Linked DNA regions of Sus scrofa. The protein of the gene in region 3 interacts with the protein of the main gene of each other region in a biochemical or structural test. Links are inferred from orthologs where the notes say so. Each region holds a gene or a part of one and is shown on either strand. Other genes may lie near its edges. The genes, in order: USP2, UBE3C, UBC, MINDY2, UBQLN1, UBL7 and USP13.

Evidence for each region.
Region 1: of the proteins of UBC (region 3) and USP2, one has a biochemical effect on the other in vitro, tested with the Homo sapiens proteins (21 studies listed by BioGRID, with this or other methods). The link is inferred for Sus scrofa from reciprocal best matches to the Homo sapiens genes UBC and USP2.
Region 2: of the proteins of UBC (region 3) and UBE3C, one has a biochemical effect on the other in vitro, tested with the Homo sapiens proteins (5 studies listed by BioGRID). The link is inferred for Sus scrofa from reciprocal best matches to the Homo sapiens genes UBC and UBE3C.
Region 4: the proteins of UBC (region 3) and MINDY2 form a complex in vitro, tested with the Homo sapiens proteins (5 studies listed by BioGRID, with this or other methods). The link is inferred for Sus scrofa from reciprocal best matches to the Homo sapiens genes UBC and MINDY2.
Region 5: the proteins of UBC (region 3) and UBQLN1 form a complex in vitro, tested with the Homo sapiens proteins (13 studies listed by BioGRID and IntAct, with this or other methods). The link is inferred for Sus scrofa from reciprocal best matches to the Homo sapiens genes UBC and UBQLN1.
Region 6: the proteins of UBC (region 3) and UBL7 form a complex in vitro, tested with the Homo sapiens proteins (6 studies listed by BioGRID, with this or other methods). The link is inferred for Sus scrofa from reciprocal best matches to the Homo sapiens genes UBC and UBL7.
Region 7: the proteins of UBC (region 3) and USP13 form a complex in vitro, tested with the Homo sapiens proteins (9 studies listed by BioGRID, with this or other methods). The link is inferred for Sus scrofa from reciprocal best matches to the Homo sapiens genes UBC and USP13.

What each region holds. Positions count from the first base shown.
Region 1 is NC_010451.4:46,587,555-46,591,756, reverse strand, and holds the start of USP2 (ubiquitin carboxyl-terminal hydrolase 2), read left to right. Parts: upstream 1-1,402; 5' UTR 1,403-1,532; exon of another isoform or gene 1,533-1,536; intron 1,537-3,543; exon of another isoform or gene 3,544-3,663; intron 3,664-4,202. UniProt on the Homo sapiens protein: Hydrolase that deubiquitinates polyubiquitinated target proteins such as MDM2, MDM4 and CCND1. Isoform 1 and isoform 4 possess both ubiquitin-specific peptidase and isopeptidase activities.
Region 2 is NC_010460.4:1,541,954-1,544,113, reverse strand, and holds the end of UBE3C (ubiquitin-protein ligase E3C), read left to right. Parts: intron 1-166; coding exon 167-337; 3' UTR 338-1,660; downstream 1,661-2,160. UniProt on the Homo sapiens protein: E3 ubiquitin-protein ligase that specifically catalyzes 'Lys-29'- and 'Lys-48'-linked polyubiquitin chains.
Region 3 is NC_010456.5:28,259,064-28,261,271, reverse strand, and holds the end of UBC (polyubiquitin-C), read right to left. Parts: coding exon 570-2,208; 3' UTR 501-569; downstream 1-500.
Region 4 is NC_010443.5:113,178,762-113,182,261, forward strand, and holds part of MINDY2 (ubiquitin carboxyl-terminal hydrolase MINDY-2), read right to left. Parts: intron 790-3,500; coding exon 544-789; intron 1-543. UniProt on the Homo sapiens protein: Hydrolase that can remove 'Lys-48'-linked conjugated ubiquitin from proteins. Binds to polyubiquitin chains of different linkage types, including 'Lys-6', 'Lys-11', 'Lys-29', 'Lys-33', 'Lys-48' and 'Lys-63'.
Region 5 is NC_010452.4:31,274,715-31,278,715, forward strand, and holds the start of UBQLN1 (ubiquilin-1), read left to right. Parts: upstream 1-1,201; 5' UTR 1,202-1,459; intron 1,460-1,699; exon of another isoform or gene 1,700-1,724; 5' UTR 1,725-2,164; coding exon 2,165-2,344; intron 2,345-4,001. UniProt on the Homo sapiens protein: Plays an important role in the regulation of different protein degradation mechanisms and pathways including ubiquitin-proteasome system (UPS), autophagy and endoplasmic reticulum-associated protein degradation (ERAD) pathway.
Region 6 is NC_010449.5:59,069,592-59,073,556, reverse strand, and holds the start of UBL7 (ubiquitin-like protein 7), read right to left. Parts: upstream 2,801-3,965; 5' UTR 2,752-2,800; intron 1,458-2,751; coding exon of another isoform or gene 1,429-1,457; coding exon 1,245-1,428; intron 489-1,244; coding exon 369-488; intron 1-368.
Region 7 is NC_010455.5:117,698,757-117,702,879, forward strand, and holds the start of USP13 (ubiquitin carboxyl-terminal hydrolase 13), read left to right. Parts: upstream 1-1,323; 5' UTR 1,324-1,512; coding exon 1,513-1,680; intron 1,681-1,786; exon of another isoform or gene 1,787-2,095; intron 2,096-4,123. UniProt on the Homo sapiens protein: Deubiquitinase that mediates deubiquitination of target proteins such as BECN1, MITF, SKP2 and USP10 and is involved in various processes such as autophagy, endoplasmic reticulum-associated degradation (ERAD), cell cycle progression or DNA damage response.

The DNA.
Region 1 (4,202 bases), on a different chromosome or scaffold from region 3:
AACTAAGCCCCCCCCCCATGGAGGATGGTAACTATGTAACTACCAGCTGAGACCCTGGTCTGAAACTAAGGAATGATGTTGACCTTTGCTGACCCTCATTGACTTCAGTCAACTAAAGCTTGGATTCTGGCAACCTTTGCCTCAATTCTATTGTGAATTCTCTTTGGCTCAAGGCCCTTCATGAATATGCATGCACCCTTAGCTTTAAACTTCCCCAATTTTGCTGTTCCAGGATACACTGCTTGGGGAAAGACACCGCCGTGCACACGCGCGCGCGCGCACACACACACACACACACACACACCCTGCCCCGGTGTTCTTCTTACTTGCTACAAGTAATAAATTTTACCTTCTTCCAATCTTTGGCTTGGTTGTGTCTTTTGGCTTGAAGCCCACCAAGAGGTGAACCCAGTTTTCAGGTAACACTAAGGAACAATTAAAGAGTTGAAATCCAGAAGGGATTTGTCCTGGACAAGAAGCGGGACACTTCTTTCACTGCTCTTGGAGCAGAGGGAACACTGGATTTGGATATATTTGTAGGAAGAACTTTAAGTGTTTTCCTCCTGATTGCTTCTAGTTTCTCTGGGAAAGAGAAGACAAGAAGGGACTTCAGAGTGATGATGGGCAGAAATACCAGCCTTGCATAAGAACAAGAGAAGCAGCTAAGGGCACGAAAGGATTGATGGTCCAGGTGAAATTGAAAACCTGGACTTGCCCCGGCACCAATCTACATGGCTATGCGGTTTTCTTCACCACCGCAGTGTAAGTAGAGAAAGGTTATACACAAAGAAAAGGAGCGGCAAAAATTCAAATTTCCTTTCGGCTTTTTCTGAAAAGACAAAAGAGAATCCTTCCATTGACTCAGTGCCTCCGTTCACCCAGTCAAGGGGTCATCACTAATCACTGGTCTCCTGTTACTGAGTGGAGAGTCTTAAAGAGTAGAGAAAAAAGAGAAGAGGCAAAAAAACAGGTCCGCTCCTGGTCGGGTGGGAAGGAGAGGAACATTTAGCCTTCCCTAAATACTAAAAGCTGCTATATATGCCCTGGGACTCAACTTCTGACCCTTCCCCCCAAGACGCTTCCTCTTTCCCAGTACCTTACACCTCTCCCGTCGTGCCACATTCTTGCCGCATTGGGACCCTTCTCGTTGTGCTCCACCCCGCCTCCAAACTCACCTTTCCTTCACGTGGCTCTCTGTATATATCGGTCGCCTGGGAGACCCTGGCCGGGCGGAGTCTAATGACGCCACAATAGCAAAAAGCCAATAGCCGTGATGCGTCTCAGTGACGCGAAACGCGGGGTGTGACTTTGACGGCCCCGGCGCAATGAGGCAGCTGCCCGCTGGGTGGCGCCGATTTCCCGGGGAGGTCCTCTCTGGGCCCCCGGCGGAGGTGGGGGAGAGGCGGGCTGGAGCGGAGACCAGGGAGCCCTCTGCGTCAGCTGCTGCTCACTGCGCCGCTCCAGTACCAGTCAGGACTCACCCGCAGCTCCATGCTTGTGCCCGGCTCGACTCGTCCATCCTCGGAGAAGAGGCAGGTACCTGCCACCTGTCGGATACTGGGGAGGGGTGATGCGGAGGGCAGTGTTGTTTGAGGCTCAGAAAGTGAGGTGCCAACGACAGGCTGGGCAGAATGGGCACTAGAAATGTAGGGCGAGTTCCAGCTGCGCTGAAGATCTCCAGCTGTGGGTACCAGTTGTAGGGGGGAGGGGGGGCACCAGCTGACAGCCCAGGGTGCCAGGAAGAGCCATCTGTGCGCTAATCAGTGTGTTCTACGGAAACGCTGCTTGGGCAGGTCCAGGTCTCTGAGCCCTGGGTGGGATGTGGCTGAGAGTGACGCCTGGACACTGACAATCCTTTCCCCACGTGTGCGAGCAGCTCATTTACTCCCTCTGTCAAAGCTCCTGGGGGCTGTCTCTGGTCGGTTTGCCAAAGGGGGTGGGGTGGGGGGAGGGTAGCATTTAAGTGGAAGGGGAGATTTTCCACCAATCCCAAACCAGAAAGAGGCATCTTTGAAATCTTCACCAATCCCAAACCAGAAGCAGGCACGCGGTGCTCTAAGGCTAGTAACTTATATTTAACAGCCAAAGGGAGCCCTGGCCAATCCATTCTAGTTGTCCTCTAAGGAGTGAGCATCTACCTCCTGACCTGGCTGCTCTTCGAATGGGGCCGAGTTGGAGATCCTGCTGCTGCTCGCCTCCCCAGGCACAGGCATGAGAAGGTCCCCCAATGAGAACCCAAGGAAAAGGAGAGCTGGTTGAGCTGGGGTTGGATCAGCCACCCCTTCTCTGATGCTGTAGATAATGTCAAGCCGGGGTCGGAATGAGGACTGGAATGAGGGCCGGGGACAAGGGCGTCCTCTGAAGTGCATCATCAGGACCGGAGCTGAGTCAGTAGCCTCTGCTGAGACAGGGTGGAGGCCCCATCTTGGGTACTCCCAGTCCTCAGGGAGAGCCATCGAGAAACAGGCCAGACAGACTGGGAGCAGACCAGAGCACCAAGAGCCGAGAGGTTAAGAATCCTGCTCCTTCCTCCTGTGACCCTGCCCAGCCAGCCCCACTCCTTGGGCTCCGGGATCCTGAGCACTCCTACAGGTAGAGTGGAACTGCCCCAGAGCAGCTGGGCTTGCTCCCGGGAGCCCCGGGGAAGCTGCACTTGCTGTATTTTTCTAGGCAAAGGAGGAAGGAGCCCAAGAGGGCCCGGCCTTTTGCCGGTGGGTGGACTGGACATCTGGGAATGGGGCAAGCCTCGTTTGCCTTGCCACTTATGGGACACAGACCTGCTCAGAAAACCATGGCATTAGAACAGCACTCCCGCGGGGTAGCCTGGAGGCCCTTTTCTCCCTAGCCAGGTTCCCCCGAGGGTGCTACTACAAAAACTACCTCTAATTATAAGTGGAAGTATTCAATATAGTAATAATTACCATTTATTGAGCTCTTACTAGGTGCCAGGAAATTTACAAATATTATTTAATCCTCACACCTGTGAGGTATAACATTATTATTATTATTATTCCCATTTTACAGACTAAATAAGGTTCAGAGGGCTTAAGGGACTTGCCCACCGACTTAGAGCCAATAAAAGGGAAAGAAAGAATACAAGCCCAGGCTTAGAAGTCCATTATAAATGAGAATGGCCTGGGAACCTGAGGAGGTCTCACCTGCCTTTGTATCCGTGTGCCCTTGAGCACGCTGCTGTCTGCCTCTAGGGCTCTTCCATCTCAAGAGTAAAGCAGGCAGACAAGCACTGAGGCTTCTTCCTCTCCTCCAGTTTTGTGACTGGCACCTCCTTCTCCATATTTTTGCCTCCATTCCACCCCCATCCCTCTACCATCTTTCCAGTTCTATTTCCCCTTGAATCCCCCTTCTGTCCCATTTCAAAATCCCTCCCTTCAAACAGTCTTGTAGGATCTTGCCTGGCACGGGCCCACCTCAAGGGAGGGCCTGCCACTGCCCCTTTAATTCTGCCCAGGCTTGGAATGCCAGTGAGTGGAGCTAGCCATCTCCGTGAGGTCAGATAAGATACTATATATATCGGAGTCAGTAACCTGAGCTCCGGATTACCCGGCCCCAAGTCAGACTCCTGCCTCTGGGCTCGCCACTGCACTCCCTGCCCTGCTGGGGAAGGAGAAGCCCCCAGATCCCATCCCGTGTCCCTGGACACAGGTCAGTAGCTGTCCCTTTGCTATCCAAACTTCACAGGGCTGTTGTCCAGAGGGCCCTGGACTGTCTGTTTGGGGGAGCCCTGTCTGTTTGGGGGAGCATGTGAGAGGCTGCCCCACCTGGCCTGGTAGGTGCTATGAGCAAGACCAAAGGCTCAGAGACCAGGAAGAGGAGAGGAAGCCCTAGAGGAGAGAGGGAGCCTGGGGCTCTCCTGTGGGGTGGGGGCACCCAGAGGGAGGTGGTTGGAAAAGAAGACCTGAGGACTCCAGTATTGCCTGGGGGCCTATATCTTTGCCTTTTCTTGGAAGTGTAGCAATGCCCACCCCCTCCCAACCCCAAATCAAGAAGCGCCCTCTAGAGACGCCACCCTCAGCCCACCCAGCTCTTCTCCAGGCAGGATTCTGGCTCTAATCTCTGGTCTCTTTATCTAACCTCTTTGCCCCCTCCGATCCCTTGGGCAACTACTGGGATTGAGAGAGACTGAGAGGGGCCCCAATCCCCTTGGATGACCCCCTTCCAAGGCATCTGCAACTGGTGGGTCA
Region 2 (2,160 bases), on a different chromosome or scaffold from region 3:
GGGTTAGGGATCCTGCCGTGGCTGTGACCTAGGCCTCAGCTCCTGCTCGGATCGGACCCCTAGCCCTGCAACTTCCATGTGCTGTGGGTTTGGCCCTAAAAAGAAAAGGAAAACCTCATTTGGGGCTGTGCCTGTTAACGGAGCGCTGCCGCCCGCTGTCTTGCAGGAGCTGTACCCCGCGTTCTGCATCCACAACGGCGGCTCCGACCTGGAGCGGCTGCCCACGGCCAGCACCTGCATGAACCTGCTCAAGCTGCCCGAGTTCCACGACGAGGCGCTGCTGCGGAGCAAGCTGCTCTATGCCATCGAGTGCGCGGCAGGCTTCGAGCTGAGCTGAGCCAACCGCGCCGCGTCGCCCGGCCCCGGCCCCGGGCCCCGACGGAGAGGGCGCAGGGCCTCCGCGCTGCCCGGGCCGAGGAGGGCGCCCGGGCCGACGCCCGGAGCTGCCGCGGGCCTGTCTCCCCGCCACCCCCTCCCGGCATTTTTTTAGTGATTCCTTAAGTTGTGCTCACGTAGAGGGTGAAGTAAGTTAAAAACAGATGTATGTGCCGCGGGGCTCACGTAGTCGTTTTGCCAAGAAGAGCACAGTTTGCAGACGAGTGGCGACTCAGTGAAACTAACCAAAGACGAAGCTTTGGCTCAGCGGAGCCCCGGGGCCCCTTGGAGCCGCCCCTGCTCCCGCTCCCGCTCCGCTGCGGGGCGCCGTCCGGAGGGGGGAGGCGCTCCCTCCCAGCGCCACTGCTTCTCGTGTGATTGAATTGTTTACAAGCCGAATTGTTAGACGAAAGGCATTTTCTTTTCCTGCTGCCTTTTCCCAAAGTGGTTAGGTTTGGAAAATAGGTAACAATGGTGATCTTTTATTTGTGTTTTTAAGCCATCTCCCCACCATGGGACTAGCATGCTTGTTCCCGGTGTGCCCCCGACCTGCATCATGATGGTTTGGACATTACTGTGCGTGGGTGTGTGTGTGAGGTGGGCCCTTCCTTCCTTTTCCATTTCCGCCTCCACTTTGTGCCTGGAGAGCTTTCAGGGGAGGGGGGTCTCCGTCCAGTCCCTGCGGCGTGTGTGAGACCCGCGTGAGCGATGGCTCGGGGAGAGGCCACCCGCAGCACCGTCTCGAGTCACTTGAACCAAAGTGGCGCTGCGCCTTTGCACTGCGGCCGGCCCGCCAGCCCAGCCCGCCCCGCCCCCGCCCCCGCCCCCGCCCCCGCCCCCGCCCGGCCGCTGCGCGGGGAAGAGGGCGGGGCTGCGCGGGAAGAGGGCGGGGCCCCACGCGCGGCGCGGGGCGGGGCGGGGCGGGTTGGTGACTCTCTGGGATTCGGCACTTTATCAGGAGCTGGGTGGTTTCAGACTCTCCAAGCGGAGGGTGTTTGAACGCGTCATCTGCGAGTGCAGGGACCCTTTGCTGACGCTGGGGGCGCCAAGAAAGCAGACCACGGCTCTTCTGCGGCTGGGGTTTGGCTGTCCCTGGAGCTCTGGGCTGTCCCGTGGAAGTGACCAGAATTAGCAATATGCTTTTAAATGTGGGGAAAGCGAATGACACTTTTAAGACAATGACCATTATCAAAACAAAATGTATAATTTCTTAATTTGAACAATAAATTAAGTGTTTAAATGCTATTTGTAGTCTTGATATACAAAAATAAAATAATTAGGGTTTTGTCCTTGGTTTTATTTTCATTTTAGGTTTTCTGTTGAATGTTCTAGGTCTTCTCTGCTTAGTAGTTGATCTGTATATTTTATTATCAGTCTTTTGGAAATGAAATATCTGGGACTGAAAAGAAATGGGCAGTTACACTTTGGGGGTTTTTCCTCAGTCATCCTGAGCGTATTTATTTATTTGTATGTTCCAGTGGCTAAATATTTGCATTAATTTTTTCCCCCAAGTCTGTGTTGGAGTCGTACCCCCAGTTGTAATTAGTTCTGTTCTGCCCCAGTAAAACCATGACCGGTAACCACTGAGTTTTCCATGGTTGTTTGAATGTCAGTTAATACAGGCTGATTATTCAGAGTCACATACGCCAGGCAGTCCTGTGTGTTGCCTGAGCTGCACTGACAGAGGCTTTGGGGAGGTGGACGCGTCACCGCCCTTCCCGCACAAGCTCTGGCCAGGGCCAGGGCCGACCCAGGAGTGGCTGTCACCTCATCAGGTCCCAGGCG
Region 3 (2,208 bases):
GCAACAGTTAAGAGCCAATAATCTTCTCTACTAATACTTAAAACTTTCTAATGTAATGCCTAATGAGACTTTTCTAATAACAAATGCCAGAGCCTTTCTTTCAAAAATGGTCAAATGACTTTCCAGACAGTTCAAAGTGAATTTAAATAGATTTACATACTAACCCTGATTCTTCCATAGGTTCCCATCACTCCCACCCTCTTTTTGATTCTTTCTCCTGGCTGGTACTGCAGAAACTTCCCCTTCTCAGATACTACATCCAGTATTTACAAGTAAATCTACATAGAAGAGTACATATGAATAATTCTGCAACCTCTTACTAGTCTGGGTTTTATTTATACTCACCCACTACAGTTCTACATTAAAACCATCTTTTACTGACATTTCTTACCTCCTGTTTACCACAGATTATGTAGCAGACTGAAAACACTTGATCTCTTATACCCAACCCGACCTAAAAAAAAAAATCCTCCTTAGACACTTAAAAATAAATCACACTATTTTGGAATGCAACAACTTTATTGAAAGAAAAGTGCAATGAAATTTGTTGAAAGCTTAAAAGGGAGAACTTAGAAACCTCCCCTCAAGCGCAGGACCAAGTGCAGGGTGGACTCCTTCTGGATGTTGTAGTCAGACAGGGTGCGCCCATCTTCCAGCTGCTTCCCGGCAAAGATCAGCCTCTGCTGGTCTGGGGGGATGCCTTCCTTGTCTTGGATCTTCGCCTTGACATTCTCGATGGTGTCGCTGGGCTCCACTTCCAGGGTGATGGTCTTACCAGTCAAGGTCTTCACGAAGATCTGCATCCCACCTCTGAGGCGGAGGACCAGGTGCAGGGTGGACTCCTTCTGGATGTTGTAGTCAGACAGGGTGCGCCCATCTTCCAGCTGCTTCCCGGCAAAGATCAGCCTCTGCTGGTCTGGGGGGATGCCTTCCTTGTCTTGGATCTTCGCCTTGACATTCTCGATGGTGTCGCTGGGCTCCACTTCCAGGGTGATGGTCTTACCAGTCAAGGTCTTCACGAAGATCTGCATCCCACCTCTGAGGCGGAGGACCAGGTGCAGGGTGGACTCCTTCTGGATGTTGTAGTCAGACAGGGTGCGCCCATCTTCCAGCTGCTTCCCGGCAAAGATCAGCCTCTGCTGGTCTGGGGGGATGCCTTCCTTGTCTTGGATCTTCGCCTTGACGTTCTCGATGGTGTCGCTGGGCTCCACTTCCAGGGTGATGGTCTTACCAGTCAAGGTCTTCACGAAGATCTGCATCCCACCTCTGAGGCGGAGGACCAGGTGCAGGGTGGACTCCTTCTGGATGTTGTAGTCAGACAGGGTGCGCCCATCTTCCAGCTGCTTCCCGGCAAAGATCAGCCTCTGCTGGTCTGGGGGGATGCCTTCCTTGTCCTGGATCTTCGCCTTGACGTTCTCGATGGTGTCGCTGGGCTCCACTTCCAGGGTGATGGTCTTACCAGTCAAGGTCTTCACGAAGATCTGCATCCCACCTCTGAGGCGGAGGACCAGGTGCAGGGTGGACTCCTTCTGGATGTTGTAGTCAGACAGGGTGCGCCCATCTTCCAGCTGCTTCCCGGCAAAGATCAGCCTCTGCTGGTCTGGGGGGATGCCTTCCTTGTCTTGGATCTTCGCCTTGACGTTCTCGATGGTGTCGCTGGGCTCCACTTCCAGGGTGATGGTCTTACCAGTCAAGGTCTTCACGAAGATCTGCATCCCACCTCTGAGGCGGAGGACCAGGTGCAGGGTGGACTCCTTCTGGATGTTGTAGTCAGACAGGGTGCGCCCATCTTCCAGCTGCTTCCCGGCAAAGATCAGCCTCTGCTGGTCTGGGGGGATGCCTTCCTTGTCCTGGATCTTCGCCTTGACGTTCTCGATGGTGTCGCTGGGCTCCACTTCCAGGGTGATGGTCTTACCAGTCAAGGTCTTCACGAAGATCTGCATCCCACCTCTGAGGCGGAGGACCAGGTGCAGGGTGGACTCCTTCTGGATGTTGTAGTCAGACAGGGTGCGCCCATCTTCCAGCTGCTTCCCGGCAAAGATCAGCCTCTGCTGGTCTGGGGGGATGCCTTCCTTGTCCTGGATCTTCGCCTTGACGTTCTCGATGGTGTCGCTGGGCTCCACTTCCAGGGTGATGGTCTTACCAGTCAAGGTCTTCACAAAGATCTGCATCCCACCTCTGAGGCGGAGGACCAGGTGCAGGGTGGAC
Region 4 (3,500 bases), on a different chromosome or scaffold from region 3:
TTTGTTCACATTGGTTTGTAGTCTTTGAAGCTGCTAAGAACTTAAACATTTTGAAAAATCTTTTTTTTTTTTTTTGTCTTTTTAGGGCCGCACCCATGGCATATGGAGGTTCCTAGGCTAGGGGTTGAATTGGAGCTGTAGCTGCTGGCCTACGCCACAGCCACAGCAACACTAGATCTGACGCGTGTCTGCGACCTACACCACAGCTCATGGCAACGCCAGATCCTTAACCCACTAAGTGGGGCAAGGGATCAAACCTGTGTCCTCAAGGATGCTAGTCAGATTCTCTTCCCCGAGCCATGACAGGAACTCCAAAAATTTTGAAAAATCTTGCCATCAGAACCTCAGAAAAAAGTTTCACTAAATGAGAAATATATTAAGATAATCACAAATTTAGAACAATGTCATAAAACCCACGGATGCTAAAATGCTAACAGAATTGAGGAGTCAATATCTAATTTAAAAATGTTTTAATCCCAGAACAAATTTTTTTTTATTGCTAGAGTGATCATTGTATTTAAGAATCAGAACACTAGTTTTTACCTGGGCCTGTGCAGAAGCAGAAGTAGAAGCAGGAGCAGAAGCAGAAACAGAAGCAGAAACAGAAGCAGAAACAGAAGCAGCAGCTGCTGCTTGTTCCTGTTCCTGATAATATTGAGAAGCTCGTCTATCTTCTTCTTCTTGGAGTTTCTTTGCTAGTTCCAAATCACTGATTCCTTCAGGTATTTGTTCCCAATTGATCTCTTGGCTCTGCTGTTCTTGTTGTAGAGATAATGCCATAAGATAGTCCTAAGAAATTACATTATAACCATCTTTAGCTATGAGATTTACCCAAGAACTTGCATGTGTAAATATAGAGACTTCATCTGCAAGCCTCTGAGAATGGCTTTTAAAAAACACACAAGAGCTTAAATACAAAAATACAAGTTATTTATTTCTGTTTGGGAGTTATAAACATTTCAGCGATGCTGCCATTATTATAAATATTTTAAAAATTTATTTGAAATACTTTCTAGAAGCAGTATATAAGGCATTTAAGGAAGCTTTAAAAAATATGTCCATAGAAAATTGAGACAAAATAAAAAAAGCATAAATAAGAAAGTTAGGATAACCATAATATCTTTACAGAGAGGCAACCATTGTTAACAATATACAGTCCACTTCATTTTTTCTATATTCAGATACAAATTCAAACACATCTCCCAACCCCTGAAACTATCACAATGTTTTCTTTTCCACTTAGTGTCATAAAAGTCTTATTTTAATAAAATTACAAGAACTTCGCAAAATTATTTACTTTTTTTTTTTTTTTTTTTGGTCTTTTTAGGGCCACACCTGAGGCATAAGGAGATTTCCAGACTCCAATCAGAGGTGTAGCTGCTGGCCTTTACCACAGCCACAGCAACACTGGATCCGAGCTGTGTCTGCGACCTACACCACAGCTCACAGCAACGCTGGATCCTTAACTCACTGAGCAAGGCCAAGGATCGAACCCGTATCCTCATAGATGCTAGTTGGGTTTGTTAACTGCTGAACCACGATGGGTATTCCTACTAAATATTCTTTCAAAACATGATTTTTAAAGCCAACATGGCTGCCCATCATAAAATCATATTCAGTTACTTAATCACATTCTTCCTCCTCCTACACACACACCCAGATTATTTCCTATGAAAGAAAGTGATGTCTCTTTGGTTAAAAGTTACATTATCTAATTTATCCACTCTCTTCTCTCATTTTTAAAAGTTTTATTGAAGTATAGTTGATTTATAATGTAGTCGATTTACAATGTAGTGATAATTTTATTGAGGTATAGTTGATTTATGTTTCTATAAAACAAAGTGTTCAGTTATATACATATACGCACATCCATTTAATATCCACTTTTATGAAGCTATATACTCTCAAAGTAAGAGAATTTTAAACAACCACAGAAGATATATAAGAGGTTTTTGCCTGTGAAGACCTTGTACTATCTATAATGATTATCTTACTGACATCAAGAATTTGTCTTTCTCGGAGTTCCCGTCGTGGCGCAGTGGTTAACGAATCCGACTAGGAACCATGAGGTTGCGGGTTCGGTCCCTGCCCTTGCTCAGTGGGTTAACGATCCGGCGTTGCCGTGAGCTGTGGTGTAGGTTGCAGATGCGGCTCGGATCCCGCGTTGCTGTGGCTCTGGCGTAGGCCGGTGGCTACAGCTCCGATTCAACCCCTAGCCTGGGAACCTCCATATGCCTCGGGAGCGGCCCAAGAAATAGCAACAGCAACAACAACAACAACGACAAAAAAGACAAAAAAAAAAAAATTCCCGCAAATGATGCTCACTCAGATATTAGTTCAAAAAAAAAAAAAAAAAAAAAAAAAAAAGAATTTGTCTTTCAGGAGTTCCTGTTGTGGTATAGTAGAAACAAACCCTACTAGTATTGATGAGGATGCAGGTTTGATACCCGGCCTGGCTCACTGGGTCAAGGATCAGCATTGCTGTGGGCAGTGGTGTAGGTCGCAGATGCGGTTGGGATCTGGCGTTGTTGTGGCTGTGGCGTAGGCTGGTAGCTGCAGCTGCAATTTGACCTGTAGCCTTGGAACTTCCATATGCTGTGGGTGTGGCCCTAAAAAGCAAAAAAAAGAAAAAAAGAATTTGTCCTTCAAATTTTTCTCCTTAATTCTATAAACTCCACTCTTTGCCAAGTCCCTTCTTTGATACCTTTATAGATAATATCAATATTCTCAGTATTCTCATCATCTTACACTGTGGCAAACTATTGCTTTACTTCATTCCCTTTGCACCAATATTTTTTATCTAAGGTATTTAGAAGAATCCTGTACATTTCTCTTAATATTTAAAAATGCCCCTGTATACCTTCTGAAGGAAAGTGAGTGTGTCAATAATTATAGCTGTCAAAGGAAAGCCAAGAGTCCTAGAAAGATTAGCATTTTTGGAATCAAGTATTCCTTTGTCTACTTATAACTTGCTATTCAAATTGTCATTATAGAACTTAATATAAAATATTAGTTGGTCAAATACCTGCCTCTCCAACTAGACTGCAGAATCCTTGAGGACAGGACTGAATGATTTAGTGTCCCCAGGACCTAGTTATAGTGCCAGGAATACAAGTGCTTAACGAACACTGGCTAAATTAACAGTCTCTATGCACTTAGTGTTATCAGCAAAACATGTGGCAACTGTTTAACATAACCATATTTCCCCCTCAGTTGAAGAAAGTGTCACATCACTGTTATACTTCTAGTAATAAACATACTTGTGGCTCCAGGCCTCCTCACCTAGAGCAGGCAAAAATCTCATCTATCGCAGTTCTAAATAAGAATTCTACTCAGTAGTGCTCCTATGATAAATTGTCTGTTCCTCCTTACTTTGGGCTCTAAGGCTTTTGTGTCTTATTAGAGTCCTACTCTTTACCCAGTGCATGGTATCTTCAAGAGTCCCTCTTTTCTACTTTTTTTTTGACTAGCCAAGATAGATCTCAAATATGTACTTGTCT
Region 5 (4,001 bases), on a different chromosome or scaffold from region 3:
CTGCTGTGCCACGACAGGACCTCCAGCTCTTATATTTGTTTCACCAATCATTTAACAAACAAAAATTGTTCAAAAGAATATGCCTCAGACACCCTGTGGCCAAATCAGATCCTAGGCCTGTTTTTGTAAGTAGTTTTACCAGGACACAGGGAGGCTTAGTTACCCATACACTGTCTGCAGTTGTTCTTTGTTACAAGCACAGAGCTGAGTATTTGAGATGGAAAATGTATGGTCCACAAAGCCCGATACAGCTACTATCTAGTCTTTCGATGGTTTCTTACAAGGTAGAGTTGTATCCAAAAAGGGCTCTAATGAATTACTTAACTACATAGTCTTACAGATAAATTCTATTACTCCATAAATTGAGCATAGTCATCAGAATTTTTGTAGAAATTGATGTAGATATAAATAATTACAGAGAAATTTTTCCTAAGTGTAGGGTTAGAGATAAATGATTGGTTTTCCAATGGCAGAACTTTCCACCTTGACAAGTAATGATTACCTCACATCCAGACACAAACAAACAGTCATCTTCTAGCAGAGAGCCTTGTGTAACTTCTTCATGCTATTATTGAACAAGCTGCCAGGAATGTAGCTGATATCAGATGATGCCTATGTTGCAATTTACACTTTGAGAGCTCCTCTTAGACCGAGATTCCAAAGGAGCTCTGCTAAAAAGTGGTCTTCATGTAAGAGTACTTATAACCAGAACAGAGTTGGATGGCTTAAGAACAGAAATACAGTACGTATCCTTGCATATTTGGATCATGGTGGGGTGTCAGAGTTTACACTTGTGCAATACTGGTTAATAAAGTTCATGTCCTGTGTTGTACATTCCTTTGCAAGTCATCTTCAAAGGCAGATGATAAGTTCATTTCAAATTTAGAATTCTTTAGAGGGAAATTAACTTACTGTTTCTTATTTGTACCCATGTTTCATTGAATATAATCTTCGAAACTTTAATGCCACTTGAAGTCTGAAATGAAGCAGTAACTTAATTTGAAAGAATATAAAATGAACACCTGAGCTTCATTAAATTGTCCCAGTTGGGTGGGCACTTCTTGGGTACTCTGCTTGTGCCACAAACATTTGGGGGGATAGTATTCAGAGAACTCCAGGATGCACTAGCAGGGTTGTCAACGCAGGAGAGGCCACTGTCAACACAGGTGGCCTGATCACCTGACCAAACGGGACTGACCCGAGGGTGGGAAGCTCTGGCCATGGAGCAGTGACTCCGCGAAACTGCGCAAGGTGGCTACAGGCATGTACTCCATTTTCCTTTTCTTAGGACGAGGATTTTTTTCCTCCATTAATTCATAATTCAACTCTCGCGCACCGGGCTATAAGAGCAAGTGTTTTAAAGCTTCCAAGTGGGTAAGAATCAAGCACATTTAAAATCAACGAAACACCTTGCGGGCATTTGTTCTAGACCCTCCTCGCAGCAGGCTACGCAAAGCAGGTACGGGAGCTAAGGGGGTGCGCACCGCCACCGGGGGGAGGGGGGGTGTAAGGTGAGGGGGTTGGGGAAACTACCTGGCCCACCAGCGCGCACGCGCATCTCCAGCCGCAGCGCCCAGTGGTCGATACCCCTTTCCAGTACTTTCGCTAGCCGTGACGTCATCCCTCTGCGCCCTTTCTGTCTCCCCGAGAACACGCGAGTTTATTTTTTGGTGAAAGGGGTAAAAAGAAATGAACTGACCTCTTCTACCCCACTTTGTTTTTAGTCCTTCATTCTGAACGCGCCTACGCTTTGAGCAATGGAGCAGGAAAGGGCAAAAAAGCCAGCCAGAGTCCCAAGCGGCGCCGGCCTGGCATGACTCGGCTACGTCTCCAGCCGCGTTACCCGGCGTGCCCCGCGCGGCGCCGGCAGAGGGACGTGGGGGGGAGGGGCGGGGAGGAGGAAGCGGCGGCGGCGGCTGCGGATGTCGCTGTGAGCGAGCGGCATCTGAACACACGGCGGCTGCCGAGCGCCCAACCCGGGCCTGCGCCGGGGTCCACGCCAAGCTTCGCGGCCCCTCGCCCGCTAGGACAGCCCTGCGCCCGTTGTCACCGAGGCAGCGTGCCCCACATTCTCCGCTGCCCAGGCCGGCCGGCTCTGGCGTCGCCTGGCTCCCCCTCGTTCGCCCGCTCCCTCCTGCGCGCCTGAGTCACCGCCGTCGCCGCCATGGCCGAGAATGGTGAAAGCGGCAGCCCTCCGAGCTCCCAGGACAGCGCCGCCGCGGCCGAAGGTGCCGGCGCCCCCGCGGCCGCTGCCTCCGCCGAGCCCAAGATCATGAAAGTCACCGTGAAGACCCCGAAGGAGAAGGAGGAGTTCGCAGTGCCGGAGAATAGCTCAGTCCAGCAGGTGAGGGCCGCCCTAGGCTCGGGGCGTAGTGGGGATGGCGGCAGGACCTCCGCCCGCCGTGGGAGGAGACGGTTTTGCAAGGGTTTGGCGGTGGTGGGGGTCGTCCCCGGAGGTGCCCTCATCCTTTCTCCCGCGTCTCATCCCAAATTCGATCACACCCAAGTTCGTGGGTTTGCTCCTGGGGGCATCGCAGGTTTGTGGCGGGGGCCGCGCGGCCTTTTTGGGGGATGAACAGATGCTGCTTCTCTCGGCTCCTTCTTCGGGCGTCCACAGACCCCCAGCCTCCTCCTCCAGCTCCCCGCCCCCAGCCGCCTCCTTCTGGCTCCTCACAAAGGAAAGGGACCCGCCGCCTGGCTCCGGGCGGGGTGGAGTCTGGGTTAGGGTTCGCCTTAGCCTAGTCTGCGATTTTGTCTCGTGAAAAAAAAAAAAGGGGATGCTCATTGTTTTACCTGCCTACAGGTTAAGGTGGATTGGGGGATGACGAGCACGTGTACATTTGGTTCTGCGTTTTGAGTGCTGAAAATTTTCCCATCTTCCAATCTTTAAAGAAAAAATTAACTATGACGTAGAAATTGTTTTCAGCCATATCTTAAGTGCTAGTACTAGGCTTAAACAGAAGAGGGGATGACTTTCATTGACGATTTGCTGGTCTTTTTTTAAAGTGTATTTGTCATCGCTTAGATGCCAATCATTGGGGAGGTTTTTTGTTTGATTTTAGTGGGAGAACTGCGTTATTCAGATATTAGCGTATGCAGTCGGATAACAACGAAATTGGAGTTAATGGAGAACATGCAAATATGCTACTTAAAATCTGTTCAGGAATACAAATCCCGCAGTTAATAGTCTTGAGGAATTTAACACATTGTTTTAGCTTATTGAATATACGTCTCAGGATATTTTCTACAATTATTGAGTTGATCTCAGCGTGAACAGTTTATGAAGAAGCAAAAATTACTGAAACGTACTTGTGAATGTCCCTAGGAACAATAAATGATTAGGGCATTTGTATATATAATTCTGAAAGGTGTTGTGTTTTGTCAAGTAGTAAGTAGAGTGTGTAGCATCAAGTGAGAAACTTTGACCACCTATTGAATCACCATATTTTTTTCCCTCAATATAACTATAAAAAATTTCCTTAACGTTTTTATGTTTTCTAGCATACAGGGAAATTGAAATAATTGTGCAGTGAACACCATGTGTCCATTGCCTACAGTTAGTATCTAGCTTTATTTGCTCTGTCATACAATTAATTTTATTTTTTCGGATGCATTTCAGGGTAAGTTTTAAGCATTAGTACATGTTACTCTTAAAAAGCACTTTAGTAATGTGCCTATCATTAACCTGAATTCATTTTTTTAACCTAAATTTTTTTTAGTTAAATTTGACTTGCGGTGAAGCGCACAATTGCCATTCCATGAGTTTTCCCACGTACATACACCTGTGTAATCCGAAGCCTTATCAAGTTGTAGAACTTTATAATTGACTAGGAAATTTCCCCCTTGCCCTTTCCCAGTCAGTTCAGTGACTCTCCTCCGTTAACCACTGTTTTGATTTCTTCCATGGATTCATTTTGCTTTTTCTAGAATTTCACATAAGTGGGATTATTGGGTATGTACTCTGAGTAAGGCTTTTTCTTTCAGCTTAGTGTTTTTGAGAC
Region 6 (3,965 bases), on a different chromosome or scaffold from region 3:
TTCTAGCTTTTTTTCTACTGAGAACAATAACAATAACAAAAAGATACAAAGTCCACTGAGAAATAAACTGTTGCCCTAAAGGAGTTTAAACAGACACATACTCCCCATCCTATTAGAACAGTGGGTAATGAACTTAAAAGTAGAGAAACAAATCCCCTTCTATCAGTGGTGCTGGCAGCAAGAAGACCAGAATTACGCTCTATTTATCAACATGGTCTAATCCAATAAGTAATAAAGACATCCTCTATTATCATCTCAGTAAATCAGTCCTTTGTCCCACTCAGGCTCTGCCTCAAGAACACACAGATCCTCCTGCCCTTGTAGATATTACAGAAACGCTGCCTGTCTAAGAGCCAACAATCTCTCACCCGGTTTCTGATCAGGCTCAGGCCAGGACTTGCGCAGAACATGGACTGTGGACCCAGGCTGAATGCCATAGAAGTCAAGAGTCTGATCATCTTTGAGCTTCCGGCCACAGTAGATGAGATCTAAAAAAAAAAAAAACAAAACAAAAAAACACCTGTTCATTTATCTTTTGCTCCTCAAAATAATACACGATACATGCTTTAAACAGTACTCTTATTTAATAAGTACGTTTTAATAACAATTAATAGCAGGTACAAACTGATAAAATACAGAATCTATATGCGGGAAAGCTCTAGAGCTTAACATCATGAAGACTGTTCAATTTAAAGGAGTGGGAAAGTCCAAAAATAAAAAAGGATGAACCCAGTATTTTTTATGCCTGAAAACACACTTTTTGCCAGTTTATACCATTTTTCAGTTTATATACCATTATGTTTATTTATAATGTAATTAGTCTTCCTCCACTTAGAAAGCCCTTGCCACCTTTCCTTCCTTTTTCACTGCCTTCTCTCTAACCAACCAACCATCCTTCTACACATGCCGAAGACCCACCTCAAATGCCATATACTGAGGGTCTTTCCCTGACCAGCTTCTCTTTCCCATCCTAAATTCTTGCTCTTTCAGAGAAAGAATTCAATAATGTCATAGTTAAAGACCTTTGTGATAAAGCAGCTGAGTATAATGTACAACTAAAATGGCAACCAGTAGCTTTGTTATATGACTTGTGTCTCTATTCACCCAACAACAATCACTTCCCTGGAGTGTTAACATTATGAGACAACAAGTCCCAAACTCTTAATTTACCCTTGTAATTCCAGAATTATTCTCCCCAAAAAGAAATCAGAGTAGCAGCCCAACCCCAGTCCACAGAGACTCACCAATCAGCTCCGGGTCTGGAACAGACTCCTGGAGTTTGCCAGCAATAAGCTGTTTCAGAAATGAAATACTATAGCCCCCCAGTGAGTATTCTCCGAGCTCCGCCTCTGGCAACCGAAGAATAGATTTGGGGGCAAGTGGCTGGTCAGCCAGCTTCACCGCCAGGTGCCAATCTGAGAGAGACATCCTCTCTCTTTCGCGCTCTCTCTTTCTCCCTGGAAAGGAACAAAGCCTTAATGGTTAAAGGACAGACCATCACTCTACACCAGCCCCACCCCACCAAGGGGCTAAATGAGAGATAACTCAGTGTGACACTGTTGAAAAAGCCTAGGAAGCAGCATCAGGAAGCTAGAACTAGAATCTGGGGTCCTCTCTCATCCTATGACAGAGAGCAAGGAACTTCAGCTCTCTAGGCCTCAGTTTCTTTGGCTTTCAAGTAGATATAAAAATGCCATCCCAGCTAACAGGAATGTTGTGAGATTCAAATGAGATCATCCAACCCTCTCCCCTATGTACACTCTTCATTATCTCTTGCTTTAACTGCTACAACAGCCTCTTGCCTCTCCCTATCAAATATCCATGCTGCCAGCCAACTTGTTTTAAAACCAGATCCGATCAAGTCATTCCTCTGCTTAGAACCCCTCCAATGAATCCAAACCACCTCTATGAATAAGTCTAAATGCCACAGCCTGATTTTCAAAACCATTCACACCTTTTCTCTCTGACAACCGCCTTCCCCAAGAGCTCTGGGCTGCCCCACCCTCCCCAACACTTAGGTCTATCCTCAGGAAGCCTGGATTCACAACAAAGTTCTCCTCACTTTATACCTCTGCTCATCTGCTAACTCCTCTACATGTAATTCCTCTTCCCTCTTCAGTCTCTAAGCAAACTCCTACCAAGACCAACCCAAACACAACCTCTCTGTCCTCCCTCCCTCCCCTCTGTTGTTCTCACATTCTCTCATGGCAAAGGATTACAAACATCTGTTTACATCTCAATCTCCCCGCATCCCATTCGTAGAGGCCCTTGACAGCAAAGACTAGAATTTTTTGTCCTTGTTGTCCCAATGCCCAGTACATATGGGTGCCTAGAAAATGAATCTGAAACTATGAGAAAGAATCTTGTAAGGCAAGCCAGGCCACTGTTATAATCAATATTGCTTCCAAAGTGGCTTCTTTGGAAGAGGAAAGAAAGGCTTCGAGGCCGTCCAGCAGACCCCAGGGCACCCTCAAAACCTTCCATCTTTGCCTTTAAACAGGAAGGAAATAGGTCTTTTAATATACCCTATCTCATTTAATCCTCTCAAATGGACCCCGAGGCAGGCATTATCATCTACGTACTACAAAGGAACTGAGGCTCAAAAAAGTGAAATCAGTGGCCCAAGGTCACTGACAGTTAATACTGGGACAGGAATACTATCTCCTGGGTGACGACCCCACCATTCCCATGGGACCTGCGAACTAGTCAATACGCATTGAGCCCGCGCGGCCCGGGACCCAGCGCCCTCACCCGTCCCGCGGAAGGAACCCGGCCGCAGGGCCGCCGTGTAAACACTCACTCAGGTCCTCTCGCCGGAAACCGGAAGCTCCGCGCTGCATTCTGGGAGTTGCAGTTCCTACTGCGGCTCCTGCTCCTTTATAAGCAGCTTGCCGGCGAGAGGCGCTAGTTGCAAAGTTTCCGGTTCCGGGGAGGGTGTGACTTCGCGACCATTTGAAAGTTACGGCGCGAGGGTCTCTGGGTGCTTTCGCCTCAGAGGGTACTGAAATTGTTAGTGTTCTAGGGTGTGGGTCTCTTGGGTCGTAAGAGCAAGGCTTGGTGTGAGGTGTACTGCCCGGTGATTCCCGCACTGTCCTGGGACGCATGCAGAGTCCGTAGGTTACGCCAGGTCCTTACAGCGTCACAGGTGGGAACGCCCGCTGCCGGGCTCTCGGCCTGATTGCGGACCCCAAATGCTCCAACCTTTCCCTCTGGGAGGGCCCTTTCCCGAGCAGCTTCTTCAGACACTCCTCAGCGGTTCTTTGCAGCCCTCACAGAAAACGACTTGCCCTCGGTGAAGTCAGCCTCTTTTGTGACCCTCGCCTCTGGATTCTCCCGACTAAACCTCCCTGTGGGGGCTTACCAGGAACCCAATGATGACTTCCTCGAAAAGTCAGTTCTTAGGAGTTAGCAAACCGGGTTCCTGGTCCGCCCCAGTATGCGATGGTGGGATTTATCCAGGTCATTAATGGAATCAATTCGGGGAGGGGAATTTTCACTGAATTCTCATAGAAAATGCATACAGTCGTCCCTAGGTATTCGCGGGGCATTGCTTCCTGCACCTCCTCCTCCCCCCGCGGATACCAAATCCGCGGATACTCACTTTATGCAAAATGGCATATAGTCTGCCCTGCCTATTCCCGAATGCCCTGTCCCTCGGATACTGAGGGGCCAACTGATTTTATTGTTGTTGTTGTTGTTTTCTTTTTAAGGCCGCACCAACTGTATTTTAGATGCATGGTTAGAGTGGATTGTATTTGCGCAGGTGTTAGGCCTCGCCAATCAATTAAGGGAGCCACTTTTCTTCTTTTTTTCAATGGCCACACCTGCAGTATATGCAAGTTCCCCAGCCCAGGGGTCGAAATGGAGCTGCACCTGTGGCCTAGCCCCCGCCACAGCCACGCCAGATCCGAGCCACATTGGCAAGCTACACTGCAACTTGTGGCAACACCAGATCCTTAACCCAC
Region 7 (4,123 bases), on a different chromosome or scaffold from region 3:
ATTTAAAAGAGCGGGGCAAGAAAGGGCTCATCCATCTATCTCACATCAAATTCCAGGTATCATCCTTTCCTGATCGAACCCGCAGCCACAGCTGTAATCAGAGCCATAGCAGTGACACCTCCATATCCTTAACCCTCTGAGCCACGAGAAAACTCCCAGAAATCAGTGTTTTGATTCACTATTTCTCTGTTAACTGGCACTTATCACTGGTACTCTGTTCTTTAGGTTGGGTGTAGTTAGAGAACCTCAATGGAATTGAATCTTGTTTTAAGAATTTTTGGGAGAAAATGAGAACATGCTCTGTTTGCAGATTATTCACACCCCCCCCCACATAACCCCACTTATTTTTTATTTTGAGTAACTGGACTTGCAAGGCAGGGAAGATGTATGTCTGCACGTAAGATCCCAAATCAGTAAGTTGAATGATTGACACCAAATCTCGCGGAAGACGTCTGAAAGATAGAGAAAAATGTAAAATTTCCGTGCCCCCGAAAATAATCTTGACACTTCCTGCCCCATACGTTAATAACAATCAGTATTACTGATAAAACATACATCTGTCCTTACTGGATCCTATTTTATTCTCTTTTAGTGAGTTTTAGATGTTAAAAAAAGTGTGGAACAGGAGTTCCCGTCGTGGCGCAGTGGTTAACGAATCCGACTAGGAACCATGAGGTTGCGGGTTCGGTCCCTGCCCTTGCTCAGTGGGTTAACGATCCGGCGTTGCCGTGAGCTGTGGTGTAGGTTGCTGACGCGGCTCGGATCCCGCGTTGCTGTGGCTCTGGCGTAGGCCGGTGGCTACAGCTCCGATTCAGCCCCTAGCCTGGGAACCTCCATATGCCGCGGGAGCGGCCCAAGAAATAGCAACAACAACAACAAAAAAAGACAAAAAGACCAAAAAAAAAAAAAAAAAAAAAGTGTGGAACAAGCCTTAGTGAAATTAACACCGAAATGCAAATCACAAATTTAGATTTGGGCCCAACTTGGGTTCCCGATCTGCACCTCGAGTGCACTCGGGAGTAGTCCCCGCTGTTATCTTCGGCTGTTTTTAAAAGCTAGCGGTTTTTCAAACCTCAAACCCTGCTCTTTGTGTTGGCTGCCTCGGAGATGTCCCTTTGCAACCTAGCGATTTAGAATAGAAAACACTGCGGTTGTGCCTCAAGTCCGACTCACGACTCCCGAGTCTGCCCGCCGGGGCTCGCCCTCCACCCCCGCTCCTAGCGCGGCCACTGCTCGAGGCCCCTCTCCAGCGCCCCCTCCCCGCGCGCTGCGGCTGGCGCTCCCGAACGCCCCGCCTGACGCTGCAGCTGGGCCGGCGATTCGCCATTGGATTAAAAATAGCAGCGTCCCCTTGGCCAGCCCGCCCCAGGCCCCGGGTGCCCGCTCCCGCCCCGCGGCCCGCTCTCCCTGCCCGCCCCGGCTCGGCTCCCGTCGCCCGCGCAGCCCGCCGCAGCCGCGGGCAGACCCAACGCTCCAGCTCGGCTCAGCTCCGCTCCGGTGCGCGCCGCGGCCATGCAGCGCCGGGGCGCCCTATTCGGCATGCCGGGCGGCAGCAGCAGCAGGAAGATGGCTGCAGGAGACATCGGCGAGCTGCTGGTGCCCCACATGCCGACGATCCGCGTGCCCAGGTCCGGGGACCGAGTCTACAAGAACGAGTGCGCATTCTCCTACGACTCTCCCGTAAGTGAGGCTCGGCGGCGCCGGCGGCGCCTAGCGGGAGGGTGGCGGTGCAGGCGGCCTGGGGCAACAGCGAGCAGCCGAACTCTCCTGCACGTGAAGCTGGGGGGAGAAGATGCGCAGTGGCAGCCGGGGACCTCCTCCTCTGGGCGGCAGAGTTGGCCCAGAGGCACGGCGGTTCTGCAAACACTTAGTGTCTACTAGGTGCTGCGCACTGCATTCCCAAGGCTCCTCAGCCGAAGACTGGGCACCTGGGAAGGTTTGCTTCTCCAACCTTAGGCTGACAGGGCCCGGATTCGTAGCAGCCTGACCCAAGCCCCGCCGACGTTTGAAACGTAGATCGAATCGAAGAGTTCCCTGATCTTAAGTGTACGCTGCAGACGGTTTGCGTTCTCTTTGGTGGGAGAGCGAAGGGCTGGTAGGTGGACCGGACTGATTCCCTCTGAACGAATGCAGCCCTTCTTTTTCTGGGACCGTTTGCTTTGCCCAGGGATTCCCACTCCTGGACAATTATGATTTCCTCTCTGAGCGTTTCTCCCTCCACTTGAAATTTCTCCCCACTCCTTTTCTTTCCGTCAGAATGTCAGAAGACACCTTTGGGTGCTTCCACTTGGGCAGCAAAATAGGGGTCTGCTGCATTATTACGGTTTCCTTAAGCCTGTCCCCTTCCTCCTCTGAACGAATTAGTTTGACTGAAATGCACTAGTATAAATTATTAAAAGTTCAATCGCGAGTCGTGACCTCAGAGACTGGAGTGGGGAGTGAAGACGCATCACCGCCTTCCACCCAGGGCGGTTGGTGGTGTTTTTCACTAGGTTGCATGTGTATGTGTGAAAAGGAAAAGGAGGGTGAATGTCCCTTTCAGGAGTCAAAATGGGCATCAAAGTGACTCAGCTGTCTGGCGTTTATCATGTCTTTTTGAGGACCAGGTTATTTTTATCCACCCACTTTAGAGCTCATGTGTCACCCGGCAGATCTAAATGCAAACAGGAGGTGCATGGATTGGAAGGACTGAGACAGGTTTCACAACAATAGTCTAACACATTTTACTCATGTTTTGTATTGTTGGATGAAAAGAAAAAAACCCAATGGTGGCAAAATGTTCCAAAGTATTCATTATTATTTTGTGAGTTGATTTTGACTGATTTCACAGCTTTTTTGTTTTGTACACATTGGAGTCCCAGAGTTAGTATCCTCTCTGTGACATTTAATTTTTTTATGCCAATTCCAGATCATTTTGGGGATAAAAAATCTCACTTATTTGTTCTTCACTTTTTTTTTTCTTTCAAAAAAGTCTGTGTAGAGTGGAATAAAATGGTTAATTTCATTTAATAAAAACAAATTTAATATTTCACATATTGTGATCACACTGCTTAATGTGACTGTCAACAGAGTCTTTCAGTCCTGTTATCCACAAAGTATTTGAAAATGCCATTTTCAGATTTTATGTCCAATGTTGGGCAGGTTCCTACTAATAGCTTCTGACGGTGGAGAGGGATAACCCTAACAAACTTAAGCTATTGGTAGAATGTGAACTCCAGAAAGAAAGTGGATAAGGTACATTAGGATAGCACAACGTCTGAAGTGGGTAAGACTGCTTTTTTTCTATGTTTGATCTGGGTTACTCTTAAAATGCTTCTTACAAACTTTGTTATTGAAAGTCTTTTTCACTGTATATAGTGTATGGCAGGTAGGGAAAAAATCTGATTATTTTAATTTACTTCCACAAATAGTTATTGGGAGCTTACTGCATGCCAAACGTTCTAGAAGCATCTTGTCCAGTGTAAACTGATGATTTCATTCACAGTAGTTCCTTGGGGGAAAACTGGGCTTATTTACAAGGCTGATGAATCAGTGTATTTCTTTATCTGTGTTTCAAGGGAGGAAGAGAAAGGTTTTATAACAAGTTATATTAAAGCACAGTGCATGATAATTTGAGACCTTTCTCAATGGTACTTACCTAACACTTCATCATGAATCCCATAAGTGTTCTTGAGCACGTACTATGTGCCAACTCATACATGCATGGCTGTAAGAACAAAATCTATTGGTGACAAACACAGCAGAGACTTTAATCCATCAGTGCCATAGGACTGTGGTAGAGAAAAGGGCAAAGCCATTTGAGTGGAGAAAATAGTCATACTTGCCTTGAATACTTTTGAAAATGGTCATAGATAAAGATGGATAGAAATAAATAGAAGACCAGCATTTTATGCCAGGTAAATCACATGCACAAACACGTAAAGTGTGAATATTTTTTTTATTTGCTTGTGATGTATTTGGAAGAAAAAGACTGATTTCACAAGCAATGAGGTCAGAACCAAGTAGAGAGAAGATGGGGGACTTGAATACCTGCGTATAGGATCTTGATTTCATACAATCAGTTATGGAGAGCTACTGTGAGTAATGTGATTTGAAGTGGTGCTAGAGGAGTTACTTTCATGGC